Linked DNA regions of Anolis sagrei. The protein of the gene in region 2 interacts with the protein of the main gene of each other region in a pairwise test. Links are inferred from orthologs where the notes say so. Each region holds a gene or a part of one and is shown on either strand. Other genes may lie near its edges. The genes, in order: RNF183, GOPC, VTN and DPYD.

What was found.
Region 1: the proteins of GOPC (region 2) and RNF183 interact in binary tests that used the Homo sapiens proteins (3 or more experiments, as listed by UniProt). The two-hybrid records come from large-scale screens. The link is inferred for Anolis sagrei from reciprocal best matches to the Homo sapiens genes GOPC and RNF183.
Region 3: the proteins of GOPC (region 2) and VTN interact in binary tests that used the Homo sapiens proteins (3 or more experiments, as listed by UniProt). The two-hybrid records come from large-scale screens. The link is inferred for Anolis sagrei from reciprocal best matches to the Homo sapiens genes GOPC and VTN.
Region 4: the proteins of GOPC (region 2) and DPYD interact in a two-hybrid assay, tested with the Homo sapiens proteins (2 studies listed by BioGRID and IntAct). The link is inferred for Anolis sagrei from reciprocal best matches to the Homo sapiens genes GOPC and DPYD.

The regions. Positions count from the first base shown.
Region 1 is NC_090031.1:5,857,861-5,863,358, reverse strand, and holds RNF183 (E3 ubiquitin-protein ligase RNF183), read right to left. Parts: upstream 1,238-5,498; 5' UTR 1,230-1,237; coding exon 675-1,229; 3' UTR 518-674; downstream 1-517. UniProt on the Homo sapiens protein: Acts as an E3 ubiquitin ligase catalyzing the covalent attachment of ubiquitin moieties onto substrate proteins. Triggers apoptosis in response to prolonged ER stress by mediating the polyubiquitination and subsequent proteasomal degradation of BCL2L1.
Region 2 is NC_090021.1:89,459,647-89,467,248, reverse strand, and holds the start of GOPC (Golgi-associated PDZ and coiled-coil motif-containing protein), read right to left. Parts: upstream 2,865-7,602; coding exon 2,559-2,864; intron 1-2,558. Other genes in the region: nephrocan-like, read left to right, coding at 2,863-3,077.
Region 3 is NC_090031.1:32,100,327-32,107,347, reverse strand, and holds the start of VTN (vitronectin), read right to left. Parts: upstream 3,007-7,021; 5' UTR 2,924-3,006; intron 1-2,923. Other genes in the region: NAD(+) hydrolase SARM1, read left to right, coding at 3,373-3,800, 5,862-6,480. UniProt on the Homo sapiens protein: Vitronectin is a cell adhesion and spreading factor found in serum and tissues. Vitronectin interact with glycosaminoglycans and proteoglycans. Is recognized by certain members of the integrin family and serves as a cell-to-substrate adhesion molecule.
Region 4 is NC_090024.1:148,570,403-148,577,430, forward strand, and holds the start of DPYD (dihydropyrimidine dehydrogenase [NADP(+)]), read right to left. Parts: upstream 3,031-7,028; 5' UTR 2,955-3,030; coding exon 2,916-2,954; intron 1-2,915.

The DNA.
Region 1 (5,498 bases), on a different chromosome or scaffold from region 2:
AAAATGAACAAAATCTGGTTACCAGTATTTAAAAATTAAAATCAGGATAGTAAATGAACAGCACATGGAGGAATCCTTTGTTGGGAGATGTTAGCTGGCCCTGATTGTTTCCCTTGTGGGATTTTCTGAGTGTTGCTGTTTATTTACACTTCTGATCTTACAGTTTTTTAAAAATAAATAAATACCGGTAGCCAGATTTTGTTCATTTTCATGGTTTCCTCCTTTTAGAGGAATTCCAGACATGAAACAATCAGAGCCAGCTGACACCTTCCCACAAAGGATTCCCCAAGGCAGAAAGCAACCAGCCTTTGAAGCTGCGAGCTTATTTAGTGCTAATCAAGGTGGCCAATTGCAACATTCACACTTGTCTCGTGCAGACAAGAGTTCTTTCTCCCACAGATATCTAAACCTCACTTGCCTAGTTTCCAACAGAACCTCAACCTCTGCTATGGATGTGGGTGAAATGTCAGGAGAGAATGCTTCTGGACAGCCCAGAAAACTCATAGCAACCCAATGATTCCGGCCGTGAAATCCTTCGTCATAGGATTTCCTATGTCATTGTCCGCACAAAGGACTCCTTGAGTGGTCAGTGTAGATGTGCTCGTAGTTTCCTCATTCCGATCGGATCCACTCTCATAGACACATCATGTAAAACGACAAGACAATTCCCATTCTCACCCTGAACCGGTGAAGAAATGGTTGTTCCAGTAGATAAAGAAAATAAAAAGTGTGACGACGATCAAGATGAGGGCCATCAAGTAGGAGAAAAGGCGAAGCTGCGGGTTGCAGGCACACGCCCGTAATGTCCGATGCTCCGGAAGGCTCGGGGTCACCGTTTGGGTTCTTTCGGCGTCCGAGGATTCGGTGCCCAGGTCCAAGGTGTAAACCCTCGGCTGGCGGAGGAAATACCGGCTCTTGCGTTGGTCCTTCAGGTACAACTGCCTGCCTTCTAAGATAATCTGGTTGGGCTCCAGCCGAAGCCAACGCAAGACGGCTCCGTCAGTGGGCAGCGCGGTGACCACTTGGTCGGGCGAGAGCTGGGTGGGGTGGCGACATAGTGGGCATTGCAGGCAGTGTGGGTCCGACGCCACCAGGCTCAGGTGGGCCAGGCACTCGATGCAGAAGGTGTGTTGGCAGCGGAGGAGCTTGGGCGTCCGGAAGGCGTTGTCGAAGGGGCTCCAGCAGATCGGGCACTCGGATGCCAACCCGGTGGCTTGTCTCTGAGCCATGCTTTGGATAGAAGGCGCTGTCTTTACACTGCCTGGAAAGAAACCAGGTTAGATTCAGAAGACAAGTAAACAAACCCACATGAGGTGCATCTACATCAGGTATGGGCACACTTTGGTCCTCTGGGTATTTTGGACTTCTCACAATTGCTAACAGCTTGTGTTATCGAAGGCTTTCGTGACCAGAATCACTGGGTTGCTGTGACTTTTCCATGCTCTATGGCTATGTTCCAGAAGCATAGATGTGCCCACATCTATAACAGGCATCATCAGAGGTTGTGAGGTCTGTTGGAAACTAGGCAAGTGGGGTTTATATATCTGTGGAATAATGTCCAGGGTGGGAGAAAGAATGGGGGAAATGTTGCAATTGGACACCTTGATGAGCATTGAATCCCCTTGCAGCTGCAAAGTCAATAAGTGAGGGCATCTGCATAGAGGTCTCTTGCAAATGAGGCAAGTTGACTCTCAGATAGATAGATAGATAGATAGATAGATAGATAGATAGATAGACCGACCTGTGGAATGATATCCACGGTGGGGGAAAGAATTCTTGCCTGTTTGAGGCAAGTGTGACTGTTGCAATTGGCCTTTGACAGCCTTGTAGCTTCAAAGCCTGTCTGGTTGCTGCCATGTGGAATCATTTGTTGGGAGTTATTAGCTGAGGGCCAGCTAATAACTCCCAACAAATGATTCCACACAGCAGCAACCAGCCAGGCTTTGAAGCTACAAGGATTGATTCTTGTCTGGGCCAGCTAACACCTCTCAACAAAGGATTCCCCCAGGCAGGAAGCAACCAGGCCTTGAAGCTGCTAGGCTATTTAATGCTAATCAAGGTGCCCCCAGGCAGGAAGCAGCCAGGCCTTGAAGCTGCTAGGCTATTTAATGCTAATCAAGGTGGCCAATTGTAACATTCTCACTGGCCTCCGATAGACAAGAGTTCTTTCTCCCACCCTGCACATTATTCCACAGGGGGATATCTATCTATCTATCTATCTATCTATCTATCTACACACACACACATACACATACACACTCCACTTGTCTTATTTATTTATTTATTTATCTATTTACAACATTTATATGCTGCCCTTCTCACCCCGAGGGGGACTCGGAGCAACTTACAAGATATATATACATACAATATATTATATTATTACAAAGTAGAATATCAGTATTATAAAATACTATATTGTACTATACCATTATATTGTAATATTATTAGTAATATTACATGTTATATATATATATATATATATATATATATATATATATATAATATTGTATTATTATTATTAGTAGTAGTATTATATTGTATTGTATTATAATATTTATACCTTATAGTATAAATATTATATTATATAAATATTTATATAATATGTGTATATATAAATATTATATAAATATTTATACCTTACCTCCAACAGACCTCTGAAGATGCTATTAGCCACAAATGCAGGGGAAACGTTCAGGTGAGAATGCTGCTGGAACATGGCCATACATTCCACAACTATATCAACCCCACTTGTTTCCAACAGACTTCACAACCTCTGAGGATGCCTGCCATAGATGTGGGTGAAATGTCAGGAGAGAATGCTTCTGGAACATCACCAGACAGCCTGGAAAACTTGTATCACCCCAGCTGATAGGCTGTTAGGAATGGTGCAAGTTGAAGTCCAAAACACCCAGAGGGCCGAAGTTTGCCCATGCCTGATCTACAGTGTTGAATGAATGCGGTTTGATGCCACTTCGACTGCCGTGTTTTGTACCTTGATGCTAAAGAGTGCCTAGGAGCTGTAGTTTTACAACAGGGCGATGGTGCCTCCTATTATTCCATAGTATTGAGCCATGACGGTCAAAGTGCTCTCAAACTGCATTCATTCTGCACGATGAGATGGTATCACCGCAGGCCTCTGGAAAAGAATAAAGGAAAGGACTTCCTCCAAGGACGTGACAAATGAGGCTGTGACACACAACTTGTGTGTACACCTCAGTTTTATGGGATCACGGGGCAAGAGTCCCACCCTTTGACATTTCACATAGATACACAAGACATAGGCTGCCAAGAGTGCGGTCAAGGTGGCAAATGGTGTTTGTTGAATCCTACGATAAAGGTGATAAAGGTGGTCCCAGTGGTGATTGGCATACTGGGTGCAGTGCCTCAAGACCTTGGCCTGCACTTAAAAACAATCACCGCTGACAAAATTACCACCTGTCAGCTGCTCGGATCTGCACGCATTATTCGCTGATACATCACACAGTCCTAGACACTTGGGAAGTGTCTGACGTGTGATCCAATACAACAGCCAGCAGAGTGTCTGCTGTGAACTCATCTTGTTGTGTTTCAAATAATAATAATAATAGTAATTTTTATTTCTTGCCCGCCTCTCTTCAAAGTTCGAGGTGTGTTTGCTTTGGCTCCTTACTAAGATTGCGTTATTACATGACTCTACTCTGCACCCTAATTTTGGAAATGTAATTTATCCCAGGTAATTGGGCTCCCTGGTGGTGCAGCGGATTAAACCGCTGAGCTGCTGAACTTGCTGACCAAAAGGTTGGTGGTTCAAATCTAAGGAGCAAGATGAGCTCCCACTGTTAACCCTAGCTTCTGCCAACTTAGCAGTTTGAAAACATGCAAATGTGAGATCAATAGGTACTGCTTCCATGGGAAGGCAATGACGTTCCATGCAGTCATGCAGGGCACATGACCTTGGAGGTGTCTATGGACAACGGCAGCTCTTTGGCTTAGAAATGGAGATGAGCACCATTCCCCAAAGTCAGGCACAACTAGACTTAATGCCAAGGGGAAACCTTTATTTTTACTAAAGGTGAGTATTAGATTCAAGTAAATATGGTATGTGGGTCTCTCCAAGTTTTGGGGGGGGAAAAGGATTATATGGCTAAACGCCGTCACACTTTTCCAGCTTTACAACCCACCCTGAAAGAGACAGAGTGTCAGAGCTTCATCCTACCTGCATCAGGTGTGGAGGAGACGACTCGGAGTGTGTGCAATACAGCCGAACGTGAGAGCGTTTGCTCTCCCAGGGTCGTTCTCAGGAGACTTTGTCCCTCGCTCGAGGCGCAGAGTTCTCTCTCCTTTGCGAGCTGGGTATTTACTGCCGCCCAAGGAAGCAAAGGCAACCAGGTGAAGCCAATCCTTCCCAGCTTTTATGATTATAATCATTGCTAGGAAAGTCACTGGTCTGTTATCTGATTTCGAAAGCTAACCAGGGTCAGGCCGGCCCAATACTTGGACGCACTTCTGTAGCTTCTTGGCAGAAAGCAACGTGGTAAGAGGTCAAGTAAAGCTTTCCCCTTGACATACGTTTAGTCGTGTCTGACTCTGGGACTCTGGTGCTCATCTCCATTTCTAAGCTGAAGAGCCGGCGTTGTCCAGAGACACCTCCAAGGTTATGTGGCCTGCATGACTGCATAGAGCACCGTTACCTTTGTGCCGTCGCACCTGGGGGCTATAGATCTTAGTGAAAGAAACATGGACGTTGCATCTTTTCCCCAGGGGATTGCTTCTTCTTCTTCTTTTTTTTTAATAAACAAACAGTTTATTGTTTAAAAAATACATAGAAGGTATATAGAAAAATCAGGTATAAGAAAGTAAGGTATGCAATCCAAAAGGGTCAGCACTAGGTTGTGATAGCCATGTATAAATATGTGAGAGGAAGCCACAGGGAGGAGGGAGCAAGCTTGTTTTCTGCTTCCTTGCAGACTAGGACGCAGAACAATGGCTTCAAACTACAAGAGAGGAGATGCCATCTGAACATGAGGAAGAACTTCCTGACTGTGAGAGCCGTTCAGCAGTGGAACTCTCTGCCCCGGAGTGTGGTGGAGGCTCCTTCTTTGGAAGCTTTTAAACAGAGGCTGGATGGCCATCTGTCAGGGGTGATTTGAATGCAATATTCCTGCTTCTTGGCAGAATGGGGTTAGACTGGATGGCCCATGAGGTCTCTTCCAGCTCTTTGATTCTATGATTCTAGGTGATAACCAAACAATACAATTCTCTCTTATAAAACCAAGGGTAAAAAAATAGTTTCAAAAATGCAAAGGCAGCTTAAGTCCACAAGCAGAAGATATGTTTAGCAAAACCTAAACTGGAATACAAAACAAACTGGAATACAAAACATCCTTGAGAGTTCCAGTTCTCTAAAGGAGGGCAAGAAGCAATCCCCTGGGAAAACTCCCAGGATACTTAAATCTAAGACCAAGGCTTGAAACATGAACCATACCATTCAGGCCTAGCTTCTAACTTGAATGCTATGT
Region 2 (7,602 bases):
CCCGGAACTGAACTCGGGCAGCTATTCTCTGCTTATTCCTTCCCCTTGAACTTCATTCACCTCTAATCATCTTTAATGTCTAAAAACATGAGACAATTTTCATAAAGAAGAAGGAAAATATAATGATATTTGTGGGCTTTGGGGATTAAGCTTTACCTGCTTTACTCAACAGGCAGAAGTTGAGACTCTATGCTAGATGGTACTTCTGCTTGGGACCAGAAGTGGTTTTTGTTTTTTGTTTTTTGGATTTTGGAATACCTGCATATGTATATGCATATGCACATACATACATGATGAGACACCTTGATAATATGACCCAAGACAAAACCCAATACCCATTTGTCCCTTATCCAAAATGCTTGGGGACAGAAGTGTCTTGGATGGATTTTTTTATATAAGGATATTTATACAAGATATTTTAAAATAATTTTGTGTATAAAACACAGGGAACAAAGGTGTCACACTTTCAGCCACCCATGTGGACAACTTTGGAGTATTTTGGAATCCTGTAAAACCTTTTAATGAGAAGATGATTATGCTTTGGGCTGGAGAGTGAGAAGTCAATTTTGAATTCTGTGCATTAAGAAAGAAGGGTTGTGAAGCATTTTTTCTTCATTTTCCCCCTTCCCCAACACCATCCTATTCCACATCACTTCCCTCCCTCATTTAAATATCTATTTTATTTACTTATGAAAATCTTAATTAAAATATTGTTTTAAAAAAGCAGACCTTTAAACTGTTAGAGGTCCAAGTTTGGGTCCAGGCTATTTGTCTAATCATATCTCCCCATACAGACCATTCCGTGCACTGTGGTCAGCAGAGGAAGCCCTCCTCTCAGTCCAACCCCTATCACAAGTGCAGTTGGTGTGAACAAGAGGGAAGGCCTTCTCCATGATCACTCCCTATCTGTGGAATTCCCTCCCAAAAGAACTAAAAGTAGCACCCACCCTCCTCTCCTCTTGAAAACGCACATGTGCACTTTGGCGTATGAAGAGGAGGAGGATTAGGACAGTCCTAACCTATTCCACTGCTGCTATGGTATATGAGAAGAACAACCTTGATAGTCATTTTAATTGCCTTTTCTAGGATTTATGTCTAAATGGTTAATTTATGTTAGCATTATAATTAGTTTTATTCGATTATTTGTATTTGGTCCTTATTTTCCTGTCAATTTCTCTTTTGTCATAAGTTTATGGTTATTATTTTGGTATTAATCTGTTGATTTTAAAATGTTTGTATTTGACTTGGGCATTGAATGTTTGCCTTTCTTGTGTGTAAACCACCCTGAGTCCTATTGGGGAGAGAGGGTGGTCTACAAATAAAGTTTTTTTTTTTAAAATATTATTAGCATGTCAGCCGCAGTGTGTAGGTGTGTCACACAAATGTAATGAGAAAGTTCTGGGTCAAGGTGAAATAAGCAATGAATCATATCTCAGAGAGAGAAAGATGTTCATGAAATATGTTGTGTCCCTATACATTTGAGCCAACAATGTGATGCGGCGGGAGAAAAAAGCCAATGGGTTTTTGGCCTGCATAAATGGGACTATAGTGCCTAGATCCAGGGAAGTCATGCTACCCCTCTATTCTGCCTTGGTCAGACCACACTTGGAATCACACTGTGTCCAAGTCTGGGCACCGCAACTGAAGGGAGATGTTGATAAGTTGGAGTGTGTCCAGAGGAGGGGAACTAAAATGATCAAGGGTCTGGAGAACAAAACCTATGAGGAGCGCCTTAAAAAGCTGGGCATGTTTAGCCTGAAGAAGAGAAGGCTGAGAGGAGGAGCATGTATAAATATGTGAGGGAAAGTCATAGGGAGGAGTGAGCAAGCTTGTTTTCTGTTGCCCTGGAGACTAGGACACGGAATAATGGCTTCAAACTACAAGAAAGGAGATTCCCCCTGAACATGAGGAAGAACTTCCTGACTGTGAAAGCTGTTCAGCAGTGGAACTCTCTGCCCCGGAGTGTGGTGGAGGCTCCTTCTTTGGAGGCTTTTAAACAGAGGCTGGGTGGCCATCTATCAGGGGTGCTTTGAATGCAATTTTCCTGCTTCTTGGCAGGGGGTTGGACTGCCAAGAGGTCTCTTCCAACTCAATGATTCTAAGATTTCACTATTAACAACCTATATATGTGTCACTATCTCTTATAACAGGCATGGGCAAACTTTGGCCCTCCAGGTGTTTTGGACTTCCACTCCCACAGCCGGTGGGCTGTTAGGAATTGTGGGAGTTGAAGCCCAAAACACTTGGAGGGCCAAAGTTTGCCCATGCCTGTTATAACCTCCAGTTTGTGAATAAAACTGAATTACTGTGTCGCAAAATTATGTTGGCAAAAAAAGTGTACCATCTCCTGAAAAGTTTGGAAGGCTCTGCTCTAAAGGGTGCTGTTGCCACTTAACATGATCTGTGGGGAGGTGCTTGGTTCGACCCTGGTGTTTGTATTTCAATGAAAGAGGGGTGTGGAGGGAGCATCAGGGGGACGGGTGGGCAGCGTGTGTCAAGCGTTTGGTTCCTCGGAGGAAGCCCCCGCGTGAGAGACTGAAAAGGGAAGGCAGCTTCACCTCGAGCTTGTGGTTGATCTGGGAGACGGTCTGGGCCTTGTGGCAGAGCTGGGCGAAGCAGGAGCTGAGGCTGGTCATCTTCTGCCGGCCCTCGTAGGTGATGTCCGCCTGGTCCGGGTCGATCTCGCCCAGCAGCAGGTCCACGTCCACGAAGGCCTTGTCGAACTCCTTCTCCAGCACCTCCAGCCACCGGAACATCGACAGGCCGCCCCCGCCGCCGCCCCCGGGGGACGAAGCCGACGAGGAGGCCGCTGCCCCACCGCAGGCCCCGGGGCCCGCCCCCCCGCAGGAGCCCCCGCCAGACATGGCGCCCCACTGGTGCTTCAAGCCTCTCCGCCAACTCACCCACCCACTCACCGACCCACGGGCCGCCTTGGCCTCCCTGCGCCTCACTCCCTCACTCGCTCGCTCGCGCACTCCCCACGGCGCATGCGCGGGAGCGGCGGCTCCTCTCCTGTCAGCCGGGAGACCCCGAGCGAGCGATTCCCTCGCCTGCCACAACGGAGACCCGCTGGCCAGGTGGGACGGGCCGAGCTCCGAATCATCGATCGGTCGGGAAGCTTCCCTTCCTGCCTCCCTCCCCTGCGGCCGCAAGGGGCGCTGCTGCGCAGTTTGAAGGGGCGGCTCCAACCAACCTTGGGTCCTCTGTCTGTTTAGAACTTCAACTCCCAGGATTCCTGGCAATTGGCAGTGGTGACAGGGGCTTCTGGGAAGCGAAGTCCCAATCAGCAGGAGGACCTGAGGTTTTCTCAACCTTCCTAATGCCGCGACCCCTTAATACAGTTCCTCGTGTTGTGGTGACCCCCAACCATAAAATTATTTTTGTTGCTATTTCGTAACTGTAATTTTGCTATTGTTATGAACCATTGAACCATAGAATCACAGAGCTGAAAGCCTCAAGGAATTCATTGGGTGTCCTAAGTTAACAGATGACTAAGTTAACATCTATCTTGGACAATTCAGAATCATAGAATCCTAGAATCAAAGAGTTGGAAGCGACCTCGTGGGCCATCCAGTCCAACCCCCTGCCAAGAAGCAGGAATATTGCATTCAAATCACCCCTGACAGATGGCCATCCAGCCTCTGTTTAAAAGCCTCCAAAGAAGGAGCCTCCACCACACTCCAGGGCAGAGAGTTCCACTGCTGAACAGCTCTCACAGTCAGGAAGTTCTTCCTCATGTTCAGGGGGACTCTCCTTGTAGTTTGAAGCCATTGTTCCGCATCCTAGTCTCCAGGGCAGCAGAAAACAAGCTTGCTCCCCCCTCCCTATGACTTCCTCTCACATTCTTATACATGGCCCTTATCATGTCTCCTCTCAGCCTTCTCTTCTTCAGGCTAAACATACACAGCTCTTTAAGCCGCTCCTCATAGGGCTTGTTCTCCAGACCCTTGATCATTTTAGTCGCCATCCTCTGGACATATTCCAGCTTGTCAATATCTCTCTTCAATTGTGGTGCCCAGAATTGGACACAGTATTCCAGATGTGGTCTAAGCAAAGCAGAGTAGAGGGGGAGAATGGCTTCCCTGGATCTAGACCAGGGGTACTCAAACTAAGGCCTGGGGGCTGGATGCGGCCCTCCAAGGTCATTTACCCGGCCCTCACTTAGGGTTAACCTAAGTCTGAAATGAAAGCACACAACAACAATCCAATCTCATGAGCCAAAAGCAGACCCACACTTCCCATTGAGATACTAATGAGTGTATATTTGTTAAAATTGTTCTTCATTTTAATTATTGTATTGTTTTAAGTGTTTTTTGCACTACAAATAAGATATGTGCAGTGTGCATAGGAATTCATTCATATATATTTTTCAAATTATAATCCGGCCCTTTAACAGTTTGAGAGACTGTGACCTGGCCCTCTGCTTAAAAAGTTTGAGGACTCCTGATATAGACACTATATACCTATTGATACAGGCCAAAATCCCGTTGTAAATATCTGATATGCAAGATGGATTTTCATTCACTGGACCAAATTTGGCACAAATACCTATTATGCCCAAATTTGGATAGTGGTGGGGTTGGGGGGGGGGGAGTAGATTTTGTTATTGGGAGTTGTAGTTACTGGAATTTATAGTTCATCTTCACTCAAAGAGCATTCACTTGGCACACATAACTCCCATGACCAAGAGAAAATACTGGAAGGGTTTTGTTGGGCATTGACCTTGAGTTTGGGAGTTGTAGTTCACCTACTTTCAGAGAGCACTGTGAACCCAAACAATGATGGATCTGGACCAAACTTGGCACAATTACTCAATATGCCGAAATGTGAACACTGGTGGAGTTTGGGGAAAATAGACCTTTGGTATTTGGGAGTTGTAGTTGCTGGGATTTATAGTTCACCTACAATCAAAGAGCATCCTGAACTTCACTAATGATGGAATTTAACCAAACTTGGCACACAGAACTCCCATGACCAAGAGAAATTATTGGAAGGTTTGATGGGCATTGACCTTGAGTTTTGGAGTTGTAGTTCACCTACACCCAGAGAGCACTGTGGACTCAAACAATGATGGATCTGGACCAAACTTGGCACAGATACATAATATGCTCTGGTGGAGTTTGGAGACCTTGACATTTGGGGGTTGTAGTTGCAGGGGTGTATAGTTCACCTTAAGAGAGTGAAGATGAAAAATGCTCTTGATTTTTCTGGTTGTCAAAATGGTGATTTGCTATTTCTGGAAGGTTCCATGTGAACAATTCACTCCATTTTGTGGCCAAAATGGGTGTCACAAGGGATCTGGAAGACCAGAGGAGTGACACACATCTTCACACATCACAGTGCTGCCTCAAAGCGTGGTGGTATTTCTTTCTCGTAAGGTATTAAACAGAGGCTGGATGGTCATCTGTCAGGGGTGCTTTGATTGTGTGTTCCTGAAAGCAGGGGGTTGGACTGGGTGGCCCTTGGGTAACAACTCTATGATTCTGTCTAAATTGTAACTAAAGTAGCTGATGTAATACATCAGCATTTCCCCAACGTACCCAGGGCTGTAATCATATGTGCCATTCTATCATTGCAAACTTTCCTAGAAACTTGCCACAGACCAGTAGCTGATATCTCATAGGTCAGCAGTGCTTCATAGACCATTATTTTCAGTAGCACTAATCTAAAGAATGGAGCCCCCGGTGGCACAGTGGGTTAAACCCCTGTGCCAGCAGGACTGAAGACCGACAAGTCGCAGGTTTGAATCCGGGGAGAGGCGAATGAGCTCCCTCTATCAGCTCCAGTTCCTGATGCGGGGACATGAGAGAAGCTTCCCACAAGGATGATAAAAACATTAAATCATCCTGGCGTCCCCTGGGCAACGTCGTTGCAGACGGCCAATTCTCTCACATCAGCAGCGACTTGCAGTTTCTCAAGTTGCTCCTGACATGACAAAAAAATATATATCTAAAGAATGGTGTGAAAACCTCCTATCGCAAATGGTCCAGAAAGCTCTGAAGACTATAATCACACCTTTTTGCTCTGCCATGTGTATTAGTCATGCTCCATTTGGTCTTCTAAGGTAAAGGTAAAAAGGTTTTCCCCTGACATTAAATCCAGTCGTGTCCAACTCTGGGGGTTGGTGCTCATCTCCATTTCTAATCCAAAGAGCCAGTGTTGTCCGTAGCTGGCTTGACTGCATGGAGCGCAGTTACCTTCCCACCGGATCGGTACCTATTGGTCTTCTACAGAAGTGGTTCTCCATATATTTTGGACTTCAGCTCCCAGAAGCCCCAGCTAGCATAACTTGTGATCGGGAATTCTGAAGAATGAAGTCCTAAACATCTGGAGGACCAAGGGTTGAGAACCACTGTTCTCCAGCATTCTCTAAGTGAAGCCTGTTTAGAATTCTCCATTTGGCCACAGACTTCTGGACAAGCTGTTGATCAGGGCCAGTTCCAAATGTGATTCGCTTGGTGTGTCAGCTACACTGGCTATCCAAAGCTTTGAAAAGTTAGACTAGGGAAACTTAAATATTCTAGAAATTTATCAAAATAAGTGTTTTCCCCCAGATATTGCTATTTACAGACACAGTTATGATGTACGTATGGTTCACCTATAACCCCCTGAACAATCTGGGCCAGGCTACATGAAAGGCAGCATTCATTCATACAAACCTGGTCAGATTTTGATTCCAGTGGGATGTGCCCATTGTCTATGAGCCATGAGAGGGGCAGTTGTTGGGGAAGAGTAGGTCATCTCACAATGGCCATTCCTTGTTGAAAGCGGCATGCTCTCTCTCTTTTCTTTGTCCTTCTGTTGGTAGAAAGAAAGCCCTTTGGCATTTCAGTTATTTATTGGCTGTAGGGACCGCTAACCAACTAAATTATCATTTATTGTTATTGCTGTGTTTTTATTGCTGAATTTGCTTTAATTTAGATGAGTATTTTATTATTTCAGCCACCTTGATTACCAGTGTTGGTGGAAAGGTGGGTTATAAGCCAAATAACAGATGATAAAATGAAGTACACTGTGATATGTTTTGAAAAGTTAACGGAACTATGCACTGTCCCCTTGAGACAGCTTAGATGTCAGCTTTGGTTTATCCAGGGCAATACTTCACTGGATTACCAACAAAGCCACCTAGTGCACCTGCTGTGAGGAAATCAGATTTCCTCATTACTGGGAACATAATATTGAATTACTGAGGAACTGGCACTTTCCTTCTCCACATGTACTAGATTATCGTCATATACACCTGATGCACCAGTGGAAATTTCCTCCTTTCTATCCATGCCACTTAAAAAAATATGTGGAGTTATTTTTTGGACTAATGCAAGTCCAATGTTGGACTATTACAAGTCCAAATGGTATTGGACTTGTGCTAATTCAACACTATTTTTGGACTAGTACAAGTTTCCATTTTTCAAAATATTTTTGTTGATTGAACATCCTTAACTCTATTAGGAAAATAAATGTTAAGTGCAATTATTTGAAAGGGGCTACAAAGTCCAGCAAAAGTAATCTCCTCCTCTTTCACCCCCATCTTCAACACCAACCTTTTTGCTTGGAATGCAACAAGGCCGAGGAGAGAATGCTTTAAAGTTTATCTTTAAGCGA
Region 3 (7,021 bases), on a different chromosome or scaffold from region 2:
GGGAGGGAGGGAGGGAGGAAGGAAGGAAGGAAGGAAGGAAGGAAGGAGGGAGGAGGAAGGAAGAATGGAAATGAAAAAGGAGGAGGAAAAATGGAAGGAAGGAAGGAAGGAAGGAAGAATGAAAACAAAAAAGAGAGGAAGGATGGAAGGAAAGGAAAGGAAAGAATGAATGAAAATGAAGAAGGAGGAGGAAAAATGGAAGGAAGGAAGGAAGGAAGGAAGGAAGGAAGGAAAAATGAAAACAAAAAAGAGACGAAGGAAGGAAGGGAAGGGAAGGGAAGGAAGGCAGGGAAAGGAAGAATGAAAATGAAGGAGGAGGAGGAAAAAATGGAAGGAAGGAAGGAAGGAAGGAAGGAAGGAAGGAAGGAAGGAAGGAAGGAAGGGAAGGAAAGGAAAGGAAAGGAAAGGAAAGGAGGAAAAATGAAAACAAAAAAGGGAGGAAGGATGGAAGGAAAGGAAGGAAAGAAGAGGAAGGAAGGAAAAGAAAAAGGAGGAGGAAGACTGGAAGGAAAGGAAGGAAAAGGAAAAGGAGGAGGAGGAAGAATGGAAGGAAAGGAAGGAAGGAAGGAAGGAAGGAAGGAAGGAAGGAAAAATGAAAGCAAAATAGGGAGGAAGGGTGGAAGGAAAGAAGAAGAAGGAAAGAAGAATGAAAATGAAAAAGGAGGAGGAAGAATGGAACGAAAGAAAGGAAGGAAGGAAAGAAGGAAAAATGAAAACGAAAAAATGAAGGAAGGGTGGAAGGAAAGGAAGGAAGGAATCAGGAAAATCAAAAGGGGAAAGAAGGATGAAAGGAAAGAAAGAAAGGAAAAAGAAAGGCAGAGAAGTAAGGAATGAAGGAAAGAAGGACAGAAGGAAAGAAAGAGAGCTCTTGTATGTAGGAATGAGCCGTCTCTTGACTCTCTTCTCCTCCCAGCCTTTCCTCTGAATGTTCAACCTATTGGAACTGACTGACCTGCTTCTTTCCTAAAAGGAAAGGCCAGGATTTGAACCCGGGATGAGTTTGTTTCAGGCCAGCTTTCTTTGGGGAGGAAGGAAAGCAAACAGAGGGGGGGGGGCTGCATTCCCAGAAGCCCCCCTTCACCTTAGGGCTGAGGGGGAAACGGCAATTTTGGGGCAAATGCTGGATGGAATTTGCCCCCGGATCAATGGGATCGAGTTATTCATTAATATGGCCTCCCATTTCTGGGAGGAAAGGGTCAAAAAGGCAGATTGGGCAGGATTTGGCAGCCCACGCTCAAGAGGAATCCCAATTTTCCTTTCAAACATCTTGCTTTCCCCTCTTTCCTTCTAGTTTGGGACCTGGGATCGCCTTCGACTGTTCCGCTGCTGCATCACAAACCTGGCTCACAATTCATTTGCAATCCACCCAAGGGATCTCCCATAAACCAAAATTTGTTTGGACTACCAATCCCACCATCCACAGTTTCTTTGGACTACAAATCCCACCACCCATGTGTCTTTGGACTTCAAATCCCACCATCCATTGGGTCTTTAGATTACTAACACCACCACCCACTCTGTCTTTGAACTACAAATCCCACCATCCACTGTGTCTTTATTCTACAAACCCCACCATGTTTTTGGATGACAGACCCCATCATCCACTTTGTTTTTGGACTACAAAACCCAAAATGTCTTTCAACTACAAAACCCAAAATCCACTGTATCTTTGTACTACAAATCCCAAAATGTTTTTGGACTAAAAATCCCACAATCCACTGTGTCTTTGTACTACAAATCCCAAGACCCACTGTTTCTTTGGACTGCAAATCCCACAATCCAGTGTCTTTGTACTACAAATCTCAAATTGTCTTTGGAATACAACTCTCACAATCCACTGTGTCTTTTGGACTACACATCCAACAATCTACTTTGTCTTTGGACTACAACTCCCACAATCCGCTGTGTCTTTTGGACTACAAATCCCACAATCTACTTTGTACTACAAATCCAAATGTCTTTGGACTACAAATCCCACAACCCACTGTGTCTATGAACTACAAATCCCAACATGTCTTTGGAATAGAGCTCCTACAATCCACTGTGTCTTTTGAACTACAAATCCCACCACCCACTGTGTCTTTGGACTACAACTCCCACCATCCACTGTGTCTTTTGGACTACAAACCCCACCATCCACTATGCTTTGGGACTACAAACCCAGTCATCCACTATGTCCTTGGACTACAAATCCCATCATCTACAACCATCAAACTGTTTTTATTCGGCACGAATTACTACTTTTCCAAGCGAGCGTCGGCAAAGGGAACACGAAGGCGGGGATTTAGTCCTGATTCCCCAATTAGCCCAAGGCCTGGCCTCTAATCCAATTAAAGGCTCAGTCTGGGAAAATCTCCGCTTCATCTGTTGACTTGGATTCGAAACGCAGCTCTTTTTCGTATTTTTGTTTTATTTCGGCCGTAATAAATAAATAAACAACAAAATAGTAGAAATATGGCAGGAGTACTCAATGAGCCCAATCCCTCGTGGAAGCCCTACCACTCCAACTCCCATAATCCACCCTACTACTCCAACTCCCAACATCCACCCTACTACTCCAACTCACATCATCCACCCTACTACTCCAACTCCCATCATACTCCCTACCACTCCAACTCCCATTATACACCCTACCACTCCAACTCCCATCATACACCCTACCACTCCAACTCTCATCATCCACCCTACTACTCCAACTCCCATCATACACCCTACTACTCCAACTCCCATCATACACCCTACTACTCCAACTCCCATCATACACCCCACTACTCCAACTCCCATCATACACCCTACTACCCCAACTCCCATAATCCACCCTACTACTCCAACTCCCATCATCCATGTGTTATTTGGCAAGAGGTCAAAGCACAAAGTGAGGCGGTCGACATTTGCGGGGTACCTAAAGGGGATCCAAACTGACCTGTCCGAAGGGGGTCCAAGGCGCCGTCCTTCCGGCCGCTGGAAGCTTGGGATCACTCTGTGTCTCGATTCCTTCTGATCGGATTAACGGATCCGCTCTGGAGATCTCTGGGTCCCGCCGGGGCGACTCTATAGCGGGACCTGGGTTCAAATTGCAGCGAAAGGAACAGAATACAGAAAATTGTCAGCCAGTAGTGAATTTCTGATATATTTTGCAATTTAGGTCTCCCCCAAAATTGCAAAATAGACAAAAAACCCTTCCCCAAATCATCCCAGGACTCTTTGTCTAGGAGGAGGATGCAGTTGCCATGGAGACAAGCCCGCCTCCAAGGGGGCGTGTCCCATCGTTGAGTGACATCACCACCCGGGCAGGGATGCAGGAGAGGCAGGCCGTGGTACCCGCTTTGTCCTCCCGCAGCATCCCCGGCGGCTCTCCATCCTTCTGAGTCCATGGGGCTGACTCTCCTGCTCTCGGCCTACAAGCTCTGCCGCCTCGCCATGTCTGGCCCTGAAAACCGCCCCGAAGGCTGGTGGGCAGAGGGTCTCGGGCCCTGTCCGGAGGCCTCCTCTCCGGGCTTGGCCGCCGACATCCAAGCCGCCCTGGACCGGGCACTGCCCGAGCTGCACCAGGCCGTCTCCACAGCCAAGCGGGCCGCCGGGCCAGAGGACCTGCAATTGGCCTTGGCTGAGATCCTGGCCCTGGTGGAGGAGGCTTGGCTGATGCCCGCCCTGGGCCGGGAAGTGGCCAGAGGGCTCTGCCACGCCGTCCGGCTGGAGGGAGGCCTGGACCTGCTCCTCACCCTCCTCCAGTCCCCCAACCTGCAGACCCAGTGCCAGGCCGGGAGGCTCCTCGAGCAGATCCTGGTGGCCGAAAACAGGTGAGCAAGGCACAAACAGGACTTGGATTTCTATCCCCGGCATTGCCTTGGCCTTGTCTGCTGCAGCATCACACTTCTGGCTCATGCATGCATTTGTCTTCTCTTTTCGTGAGCCAGAAGTGTGATGCTGCAGCAGAAAAGACCAATGTGATTGTGCCGTTAAGAATGGCATCTATGTTTGACTGCCACAATCGCATTGGCCTTGTCTGCTGCAGCATCACACTTCTGGCTCATGAATTCCCTTGTCACTTCTTTTAGGTACCACTTTCTATGGTATGATCGCATTGGCTTTTTCTGCTGCAGCATCAGACTTCTGGCTCATGCATGCATTTGTCTTTTCTGTTTGACCCTACTTTTGACTGCCACAATCGCATTGGCCTTGTCTGCTGCAGCGTCACACTTCTGGCTCATGAATGCCCTTGTCACTTCTTTTAGGTGCCACTTTCTATGGTATGATCGCATTGGCCTCTGCTGCAGCATCACATTTCTGGCTCATGAATGAACATGACTGAAACCATCTTGAATTACATTATTAACACATTGAAAAACATACATATAATATTTGCAATTATCCTGACATTTATCACTTCTTCTAGGTGCCACTCTTAACAGCACAATCACATTGGTCTGTTCTGCTGCAGCATCATACTTCTGGCTCATGAATGCATTTGTCTTTTCTGTTTGATCCCACTTTTAACTGCCACAATTGCATTGGTCTTTTCTGCTGCAGCATCACACTTCTGGCTCATGAATGCATTTATTGCCTCTTCTAGATGCCACTCTTAACGGCACAATCACATTGGCTTTTTCTGCTGCAGCATCACACTTCTGGCTCATGAATGCACTAGCCTCTTTTTTTAGGTGCCACTTTCAATGACACAATCACATTGGCCTTTTCTGCTGTGGCATCACACTTCCAGCCCATGAATACATTTGTCTTTCCTGTTTGACCCCACTTTCAATGGCACAATCGCATTGGTTTTTTTTTCTGCTGCAGCATCACACTTCTGGCTCATGAATACACTTGCCTCTTCTTTTAGGTACCACTTTCAACAGCACAACCACATTGGACTTTTCTGCTGCAGCATCAGATTTCCGGCTGTTTTCCGTTTCTATTTCCTTTAACTTCCAGGATCGCATTGGTCTTTTCTGCTGCAAAATCACACCTCCAGCTCTTTTCTGTTTGTGTTTCTTTTAACTGCCAGGATCGTATTGGCCTTTTCTGCTGCAGCATCACAATTCCAGCTCATGAATGCATTTATCTCTTCTTGTAGATATCACTTTCAACAGCAGAATCACATTGGTCTTTTCTGCTGCAGCATCACACTTCCGTCTCTTTTTTTGTCGGCTGTTAGGAATTGTGTGAGTTGAAGTCCAAAACACCTGGAGGGCCAAAGTTGGCCCATGCCTGTTCTAAAAGTTACTTTCTCCCTCTGCCCTTCCCTGAACCAGACGGAACAATGCAAAAGGGCAGAGTTGGCATCCGCTTCTGTGGCTCATCTATTTGGAAATGGGTTTGTGTTGAGGAACGCTTGGAGAGCGAAGCGACTGCCTCGCCCTCGTCCGGACAGCGGCTTTTAGGGAGGATAATTGGGAAAATACATTAGCTGGAGCCAAAAGGGCGCCGATTGACCCCGTTGGCAGGGCTTCCTGGCACAAGGAAATAGCTCTGCTCCTGCGAAACCACAGAGCCCATCGTCCCCGCCTTTGTTCTTGTTCAAGGAACCAGAACAATCCGTCCTGCATTCTTGTGGCATTTCGTGATCGTCGCCAAAGCTGTGCCAAGAGGCCCCGGCACTCCTATTGTTCCCTTGGGTGCTCTATGTCTCCCAAGAGCATGGGGAAAAGTGCTTGTGAAAAGAAAAGGGACCGTTTGGAGCCTTGGCAGGATGGCATGAAGAGCCAGCAGCATTGGTGATTGCCAAATTGATGTCAACATCTTGGGCTCCCAGAGTCCAAAAGCGTTTGGCTTTGCTATGACTCATGTTGACTGGGATTGCATTGGCCTTCTTTGCCGCAGAGTAGGGGGAAATGTGACTCTCTGACTCGCTTCTTTTGCAGGGATCGGGTGGCCCGCATCGGCCTGGGGGTGATCCTGAACCTGGCCAAAGAGCGGGAGAATGCGGCTTTGGCGCCCTTCACGGCGGGCATCCTGGCGCATATGTTCAAGCACTCCGAGGAGACCTCCCTACGGCTGATTGCGGACGGGGCGCTGGACGCCATCCTCTTCTGGTGCCGTTGGAGTGACCCGGCTGTCTTGCGCCACTGCGCGGCTGCCCTGGCCAACTGCGCCATCTACGGCGGGCAGCACAGTCAGCGGTTGATGGCCGAGAAGCGGGCCCCCGAGTGGCTCTTCCCGCTGGCCTTCGCCAAGGAGGACCCCTGGGTCCAGTTCCAGGCCTGCCTAGCTGTGGCCGTTCTGGCCGCCAATAAGGAGATCGAGCGGGAGGTGGAGCGCTCGGGGACCCTGGCCCTGGTCGAGCCCTTCGTGGCCACCCTGGACCCCGGACGCTTTGCCCAGACCCTTCTGTGCAGCGTTGACCACAGTCAGGGCCGGGCCGCTGGGGACCTGCAGGGCTTGGTCCCGTTGCTGGACAGCTCCCGCCCTGAGGCCCAATGCATTGCCGCCTTCTACCTCTGCGTGGAGGCCGACATCAAAGCCCGGCAGAGGAACACCAAGGTGAGCATTGCGGGAGGGCGGCCCTGGTCCCACAAAGAGCCTTGAAGACCCACATAACCTTTTAAACCCACATAACCTTTTAAAGGCCCTCAAAACCTTCCAAAGCCAAACAAAGTTCTTTAAAACCCATGAAACACCCTCAAAGACCCCTAAAGACCCTTAAAAGCCTCAAAAGACTCTCAAAGCCCACCAAACTCATTCAAAGTCTTCCAAAGATCCCCAACAACTCTCAACCCCCCCCCCCAAACCTGCATTTTCTAATCTTCTTTCTTTATGGCATCATAAAACACCTCCCCTGCTTTTCAGCGGTACCTAATTTCTCTAATTACAGCTAAAGCTGTTTTCAAATTGCTTAGGTAAACAATGAGGTAGGGTGACATTTAGCAGCTCACGCCAACCCGGGGATCAAACTTGCAACCTTTTCGTTGATAGATCTTACAATTGCTGATGATTTACCAGCTATGCTAAACCTCCGGTCCCAACAACTCTCAAAGCCCCCCGCCAAAACTTTCCAAAGATCCCCAAGGGCTCTCAAAGCCTT
Region 4 (7,028 bases), on a different chromosome or scaffold from region 2:
AAAGGCTTTTTGTAATGGCTTCCAAGTTTTGAACTGCAAAGTTCACTGGGCCCAATCCAAAGTATCATATAGCAGAGTTCAGTTCACTCTGAAAGTAGTCAGCAGGAAGAACGTCTTTCCAGTTTATCTGTTTCCAGCTGCAACCCCCTGCAGTTCCTTAAAGGTGGAACAGGATAAGCTGGAATGTGTCCAGAGGAGGGCAACTAAAATGATCAAGGGTCTGGAGAACAAGCCCTATGAGGAGCAGCTTAAAGAGCTGGGCATGTTTCTCTGGGATCCTGTTGCTTCCACAAATAAAGTGGCTCATTAAATTAATCCAACTTGGTGGAGTCTACACTGCCATATAATCCAGTTCAAAGCAAGTAATCTGAATTTTATTTGGCAATAGAGGGCCCTTCCACGCATCCTATATCCCAGAATATGAAGGCTGAAAATCCCACATTAATGGAGTGTGGACTCAGATAACCCAGTTCAAACCAAATATTGTGGGATTTTCTACCTTGATATTCTGGAATATAGGGCTGTGTGGAAGCTTCCTCAAAACATCTAGCAGTATTAACTAAGGGCCCTTCCACACAGCCATATCACTCAGAATATCAAGGCAGAAAATCCCACAATAACTGCTTTGAACTGGGTTATCTGAGTCCACAGCTGAATAAAATCCCACATTATCTGCTTCCCATTCAAAACAGATAATATGGGATTTTATTCAGCTGTGTGGAAGGGATCTTGGAAAAACCCCATAAAGAACTTTCCATATCACAATCATCTCAAAGGAATACCTCGTGCTCAGCCCTCAACTGAACCAATTTTTGGAAGTAAAGGCCTTATTCAGAGGTCCCTTCCACGGCAGCTGTATAAAATCTACATTATCTGCTTTGAAGTGGGTTATATGGTAGTCTGGACTCAGATAATCCAGTTCAAAGCAGGTATTGTGGATTATCTGCCTTGATATTCCAGGTTATATGGTTGCGTGGAAGGGCCCAGAGCTGCAGAATGACAACAGTCAAGGGCACTGTAGACTGAGAATCATATTCCAGTTCAAAGTAGATAATCCGGATTATATGTCAGTGTAGATCCAGCCTAAGAAGAGATCAGATAATCTGGATTTTCTACAGCTGTGTAGAAGGGGTCTGTAACTTCCAGGACTTCATGGCATTCGGCCAAGGCAAATAGTAGTATCAAACTGCATTCGGACCAGGTCTACACTGCCCTATATGCCAGATCATTTTTTATCCCAGATTATTTAGCAATATAGACACAGCCTCCTTCCATACAACTGAAAAAAGTCCACATCGTGAGCTTTGAACTTGAATATATGGCAGTGTGGACTCAGATAACCCAGTTCAAAGCAGATATTGAGGTATTTTTTGCCTTGATATTCTGGATTATATGACCCCTTTCACACAGGTGTAAAATCCACGGATTATATGGTAGTGTGGACTAATGGGCCCTTCTACACAGTACTATATCCCAGAAATCAAGGCAGGAAATACCACATTATATGAATGTGGACTCAGATAACCCAGTTCAAAGCAGATATTGTGGGATTCTTTGCCTTTATATTCTGGGTTATATAGCTGTGTGCAAGGGGCTTCAGGCCCCTTCTATACTGCACGATAAATCCAGATTATCTGCTTTGAACTGGATTATACAGCAGTGTAGTCTCTGATAATCCAGTTCAAAGCAGATAATGTGGATTATCTGCTTTGATAATATGGATTATATGCCAGTGTATTTCCATCCTCATATAATCCAGCTCAAAGCAGATAATCCAGGATCATATTCTGGGATATAGGGCAGTGTAGATGCAGCCTCAGGGCCCTTCCACATAGCTCTATATCCCAGAATATCAAGGCAGAAAATCCCACATTATCTGAGTGTGGACTCAGATAATGCAATTCAAAGCAGATATTGTGGGATTTTCTGCCTTGATATTTTGGGATATACGGTTGTTTGGAAGGGCCCTCAGGTGCCTTCTATGATGACATATAATCCAGATTATCAAATCAGATAATCCAGATTATCTGATTTGAACTGGATTATACACCAGTGTAGTCTGAGATAATCCAGTTCAAAACAGATAATATGCATTATCTGCTTTATAATCAGGATTATATGCCAGTGTAGTTCCATCCTCATATAATCCAGTTCAAAGCAGATAATCCAGGATCAGATTCTGGGATATAAGGCAGTGTAGATGCAGCCTCAGGGCCCTTCCACACCGCCCTATATCCCAGAATATCAAGGCAGAAAATCCCACATTATCTGTGGACTCAGATTAATGCAGTTCAAAGCAGATATTGTGGGATTTTCTGCCTTGATATTCTGGGTTATATGGCCTCTTCCACACAGGTGTATAAATCCACATTGAGCTGGATTATATGGTAGTGTGGACTAATGGGTCCTTCCACACAGCCCTATATCCCAGAATATCAAGGCAGGGAATCCCACATTATCTGAGTGTAGACTCATATAATCCAGTTCAAAGCAGATAATCTGGATTACCTGGTTTGATAATCTGGATTATATGTCATCATAGAAGGTACCTGAGGGCCCATCCAAACAGCCGTATATCCCATTTAAATTGGGTTATCTGAGTCCACAGTGCCATATATTCCATATAAAATCTGGATTTTATATGGTAGTGTTGAAGGGGCCTCAGAAGCACTTGGGTTGGCATTGAGCCACACACTTGGGGACACACAAGGAAGCCTAGGAGACTGGAGAGGGAGGCACTTTGCACGCCCTCAGAGGCACCCTTTTGGATCCCCCACAACTGCTCCAAAGCAGAGTTGCAACCAGGAAGAAACAAGCTTCCCAAAAGCTTGGGCCAGAGTTGCTTCTGGCTGGCTGGCCAGCCTCCACCTCCAGGCGTGTCTGCCCCCCTGGAACCCGCTTGGGCGAATGGGTACCTCAATATCCACGGGATCCCGGCTAAGGAGACTATCCATGGCGGATCAGCTACCTCTTCGGCTTGTGCGGACGGAAGGGGACGAGAGCGGAACAGCAACGCCCCCATAGTGGGCGGAGGCTATGGAGGGAAGGGGAGGAGGAGGGCTTGGATGGACCTTGGCATCAGATCTGGAGGAAGGCTCTCAGCTCCGGTGAGGCGGGGGTGTTACTTCCAGGGCTGGCGACGCACCTTTCGAAGGGGAAAACCCGCCATGCCTCTGAGCATGTGCAGAGTGCCTTTCGCTGACTTCGAGCGCATTGCAGGAATGCCTCCCCCCAAACACGTCGTTGTGATCCTTTCTCAATTTATAACCCACCTTTGCATTCAACAGACAGGTGGATGGGAGGGCACAAAAATCAAGTAGACTCTCAGTTAACCGGAGTTCAAGCAACAGGGACTCTCAAGCAACCGGCAAAATATCCAAGTAACAATACTGCATCCACAAAGCTGAATCTTGGGAGTTGTAGTCTCATCACATTGAGAGGGGAATGCATGGGTGACTGTCCCTTTAAGAGTAGAGAATCGCCCCTCTTATATTGTCAGCACTTCTTTCCATGGGATAAAAACCCACAAGAGACAGTGCACTAGGTTAAAACCATAGCTTTCCATGGGATCCTATTGTTCTGCATCAAAGCCTATAAGATACAAGAGACAGTGATCCAGTTTAAAACAATTTCTTTCCATGGGATTCTATTGCTCTGCATCAAACTCCATAGGATACAAGAGACTGCTTACCAATAGGGAAATTTCTCAATGTGTAAGGTTTCACAGTGCTTTACACTGCCATGACTCAAGACTGGGAGTTGTAGTTTACCTGGGCATCAGCACTCTTTGAAAGAAAAGGCCTTGTAAAACCACAACTCCCAGGATTCCGTAGCCTTAAGACACGGAAGTTCGAGTAGTGTCAAACTGCATTAATTCCACTATGTAGGTAGAGGCACCCTATGGCCCCTTCCACACAGCTGAATAAAATCCCACATTATCTAGTTTGAATTGGAATATATGGCAGTGTGGACCCAGGGCCCTTCCAGATAGTCAACCCAAAATATCAAGGCAGAAAATCCCACAATATCTGCTTTGAACTAGGTTATCTGAGTCCACACTGAAAATGTGGGATTTTATTCAGTTGTGTGAAAGAGGCCTCAGATAACCCAGTTCAAAGCAGATGTTGTGGGATTTTCTGCCTTGATATTCTGGTTTATATGGCTGTGTGGAAGGGCCCAATGAGGGAGTAAAAACACAGTAAGAAGGAAGAAGCTAAATAACAAGCCATCAATGTAATTACAGGTTGAGCATCCCTTGCCAGGCCTATCAAAATACCCCGAAATCAGAAAATAGCCACATGGGTGGCTGAAATAGTGGCACCTTGGCTTTCTATGGTGCAATGTACACATTCTTTGTTACATGCACATAATTATTTTAAAATCTATCTATCTATATATAAATGCTCTGTTCATTTTGAGTGACATCATAACTCAAAAACCGCTGGACAAATTGCCACCAAATTTGGCCACAAGACACCTACTAACTCAAAAAATTGATTTTGTCATTTTTGGAGTTGTAGTTGCTGGGATTTATGGTAAACTTACAGTTAAAGAGCATTCTGAACTCCACCAACGATGGAATTGAACCAAACTTGGCACACAGGACTGCCATGACCGGTAGAAAACACTAGAAGGGTTTGGTGGGCATTGTTCTTGAGTTTTGGAGCTGTAGTTCACCTACATCCAGAGAGCACTGTGCACTCAAACAATGAAGGATCTAGACCAGATTTGGTACAGATACTCAATATGCCCAAATACGAACACAGATGGAGTTTGGGGAAAATAGACCTTGACATTTGGGAGGTGTAGTTACTGGGATTTACAGTTCACCTACAATCAAAGAGCATTCTAAACCCCACCAACAACAGAATTGGGCCAAACATCCCACACAAAACGCCTATGACCAACAGAAAATACTATGTTTCCTGGTGGTCTTTGGCAACCTTTCTGACACCTCCTCGCAACCCTTCCAGAGTCCCGACCCCCAGGTTGAGAAATACTGCCTTAAAGTCATCCAGTCCAAAACATAATCAAAGCCCCCCTGATAAAGAGCCATCCAGCCATAGATATAGATATATATGATTCACACATAGACCTGCATTTTATCAGTCATTTTTTAAATTTGTTTTTTATCTTTATTTGAGAAAAAATTACAATTATATAGACATATACTATACATATGAGATATTCACTGAAAAACTATAGCAAAATGTGCTGCAGGATGTCCCGCAAAAACAAAGTTTTTGCAGTTTAATAAACTTTTTCCATGTTTTTAATGATAAAACCAATTAGGAAATGATGTTTATAACCCAGGAACAAAAATCGTGTTATACAGTGTTGTCTTAATTAAGTCCCATCCTTCTTCCAAGGAACTCGGGAAATGACACATAGGGTTTTTCTCCAAGTAGCCTTCACAGCCAATGAGTAATGTGGTTTAAAATGAGAGAGGGTCATACGGTGAGTTTTAATGCCAAGTAAGGTTTATTAAGACGTGGCTGGTGTTATGTGCCTCCAAGTCAGCTTTGACTTATAGTGACCCTATAAATGAGAGACCTCTGAAAGGCCATGTTATCAAGAGCCAGGCAAACTCAAGGGCAATGGCTTTATTGTTTGAGCCAAACCATTGCCATGTCGTTTACCTTTTTCTCTCTCTACTGCTTTTGTCTTTCCCAGCCTTGTCACCTTACTCATGATAATTCTGATGACTTATTTGTTTAATTAATTAATTAATTCACAAAATCATAAATATGCTTAATCAAATAAAATAAACAATCAAAAACCTATGATCATTATTAAGACTAGGCCACTCTAAATCAATTTTAAGACTGTTCATTACATTGCATGTCTAATGTCTGCCTCACACATTCACCAGTGTGGATCCTAAGTTGCTCTTCCATTCATGCACCACTAACTCATCACTCTGTTTTCCATTCTAGCTCAAACCTAATCTTAGTAGCAACTAAAAATGCCCCATTGGATCAATGGGATTTAAAGATATGTTGACTTATAATCCAACAATTGATTCAATGGGCCTGCTGTATTTGGGACTACACAATAGGATGCAGGCAAGGGACTACCATGATGTCGCCATTTCAACCACTTGTGGACAATTTTGGATTGAGGAGTATTTTGGATATTGGGATTCTGGATTAGGGATGCTCAACCTATATGCTCAAAATGGCAATGTTACAAGCAAACCATTTGACAGATAATATAGTTTATCTTCCTGAAAACAAAGGGACTTAGATCCATAGAGGGGACTAAAATAATAATAACAACAAGATTAGTACACGGCAAACAAGATCATTATGCTGGTTTTTGTATTTGATCACACATTGGACACTTTCCAAGTGTCTAGGACTCTGATGTATCTCCCTATGGACATCCGTAGGGAAACCAAGGTGCTTGTTTATAAAGCTATTGTCCTCCCAACCGTGCTATACACCTGTGAAATGTGGACGTCATACTCAACTCCTGGAACGATTCCATCAGCGTTGCCTCTGAAAAACCGTACAAATCTCTTGGGAAGAAAGGTGGATAAATGTCAGCTTGGGACCACTGGGATCATTTTTCCTGGCTTGTGCCATTCTTAGTAGTTCAATCTTTAAATCCTCATATTGTATAAGCTTTTCCAGCAGCTTCTTGTTAATTCTGCCGCCACCTGGGATTGCAACATCGATGATCCATACTTTGTTTTTTTTCCATGCTCATAGGATCAAGAGTATTGTGCTCCAAAACTTTGTCAGTCTAAATTTGGAAGTCCCAGAGTAGTTTTATGTGTTCATTTTCTGTAACTTTTTCAGGCTTGCGATCTTCCCAGTTCTTTGTTGCAGGCAGATGGTATTTGTGGTACAAGTTCCCTTGGATCATCTGAGCAACAGCATTATGCCTCTGCTTATAGTCCATCTGTGTGATCTTCTTGCAGCAACTGAGTATGTGATCCATCGTTTCATCTGCTTCCTTGCAGAGTCTACACTTGGAATCTGTTGTGGACTTTTCAGTTATGACTTTGATGGCATTTGTTCTAA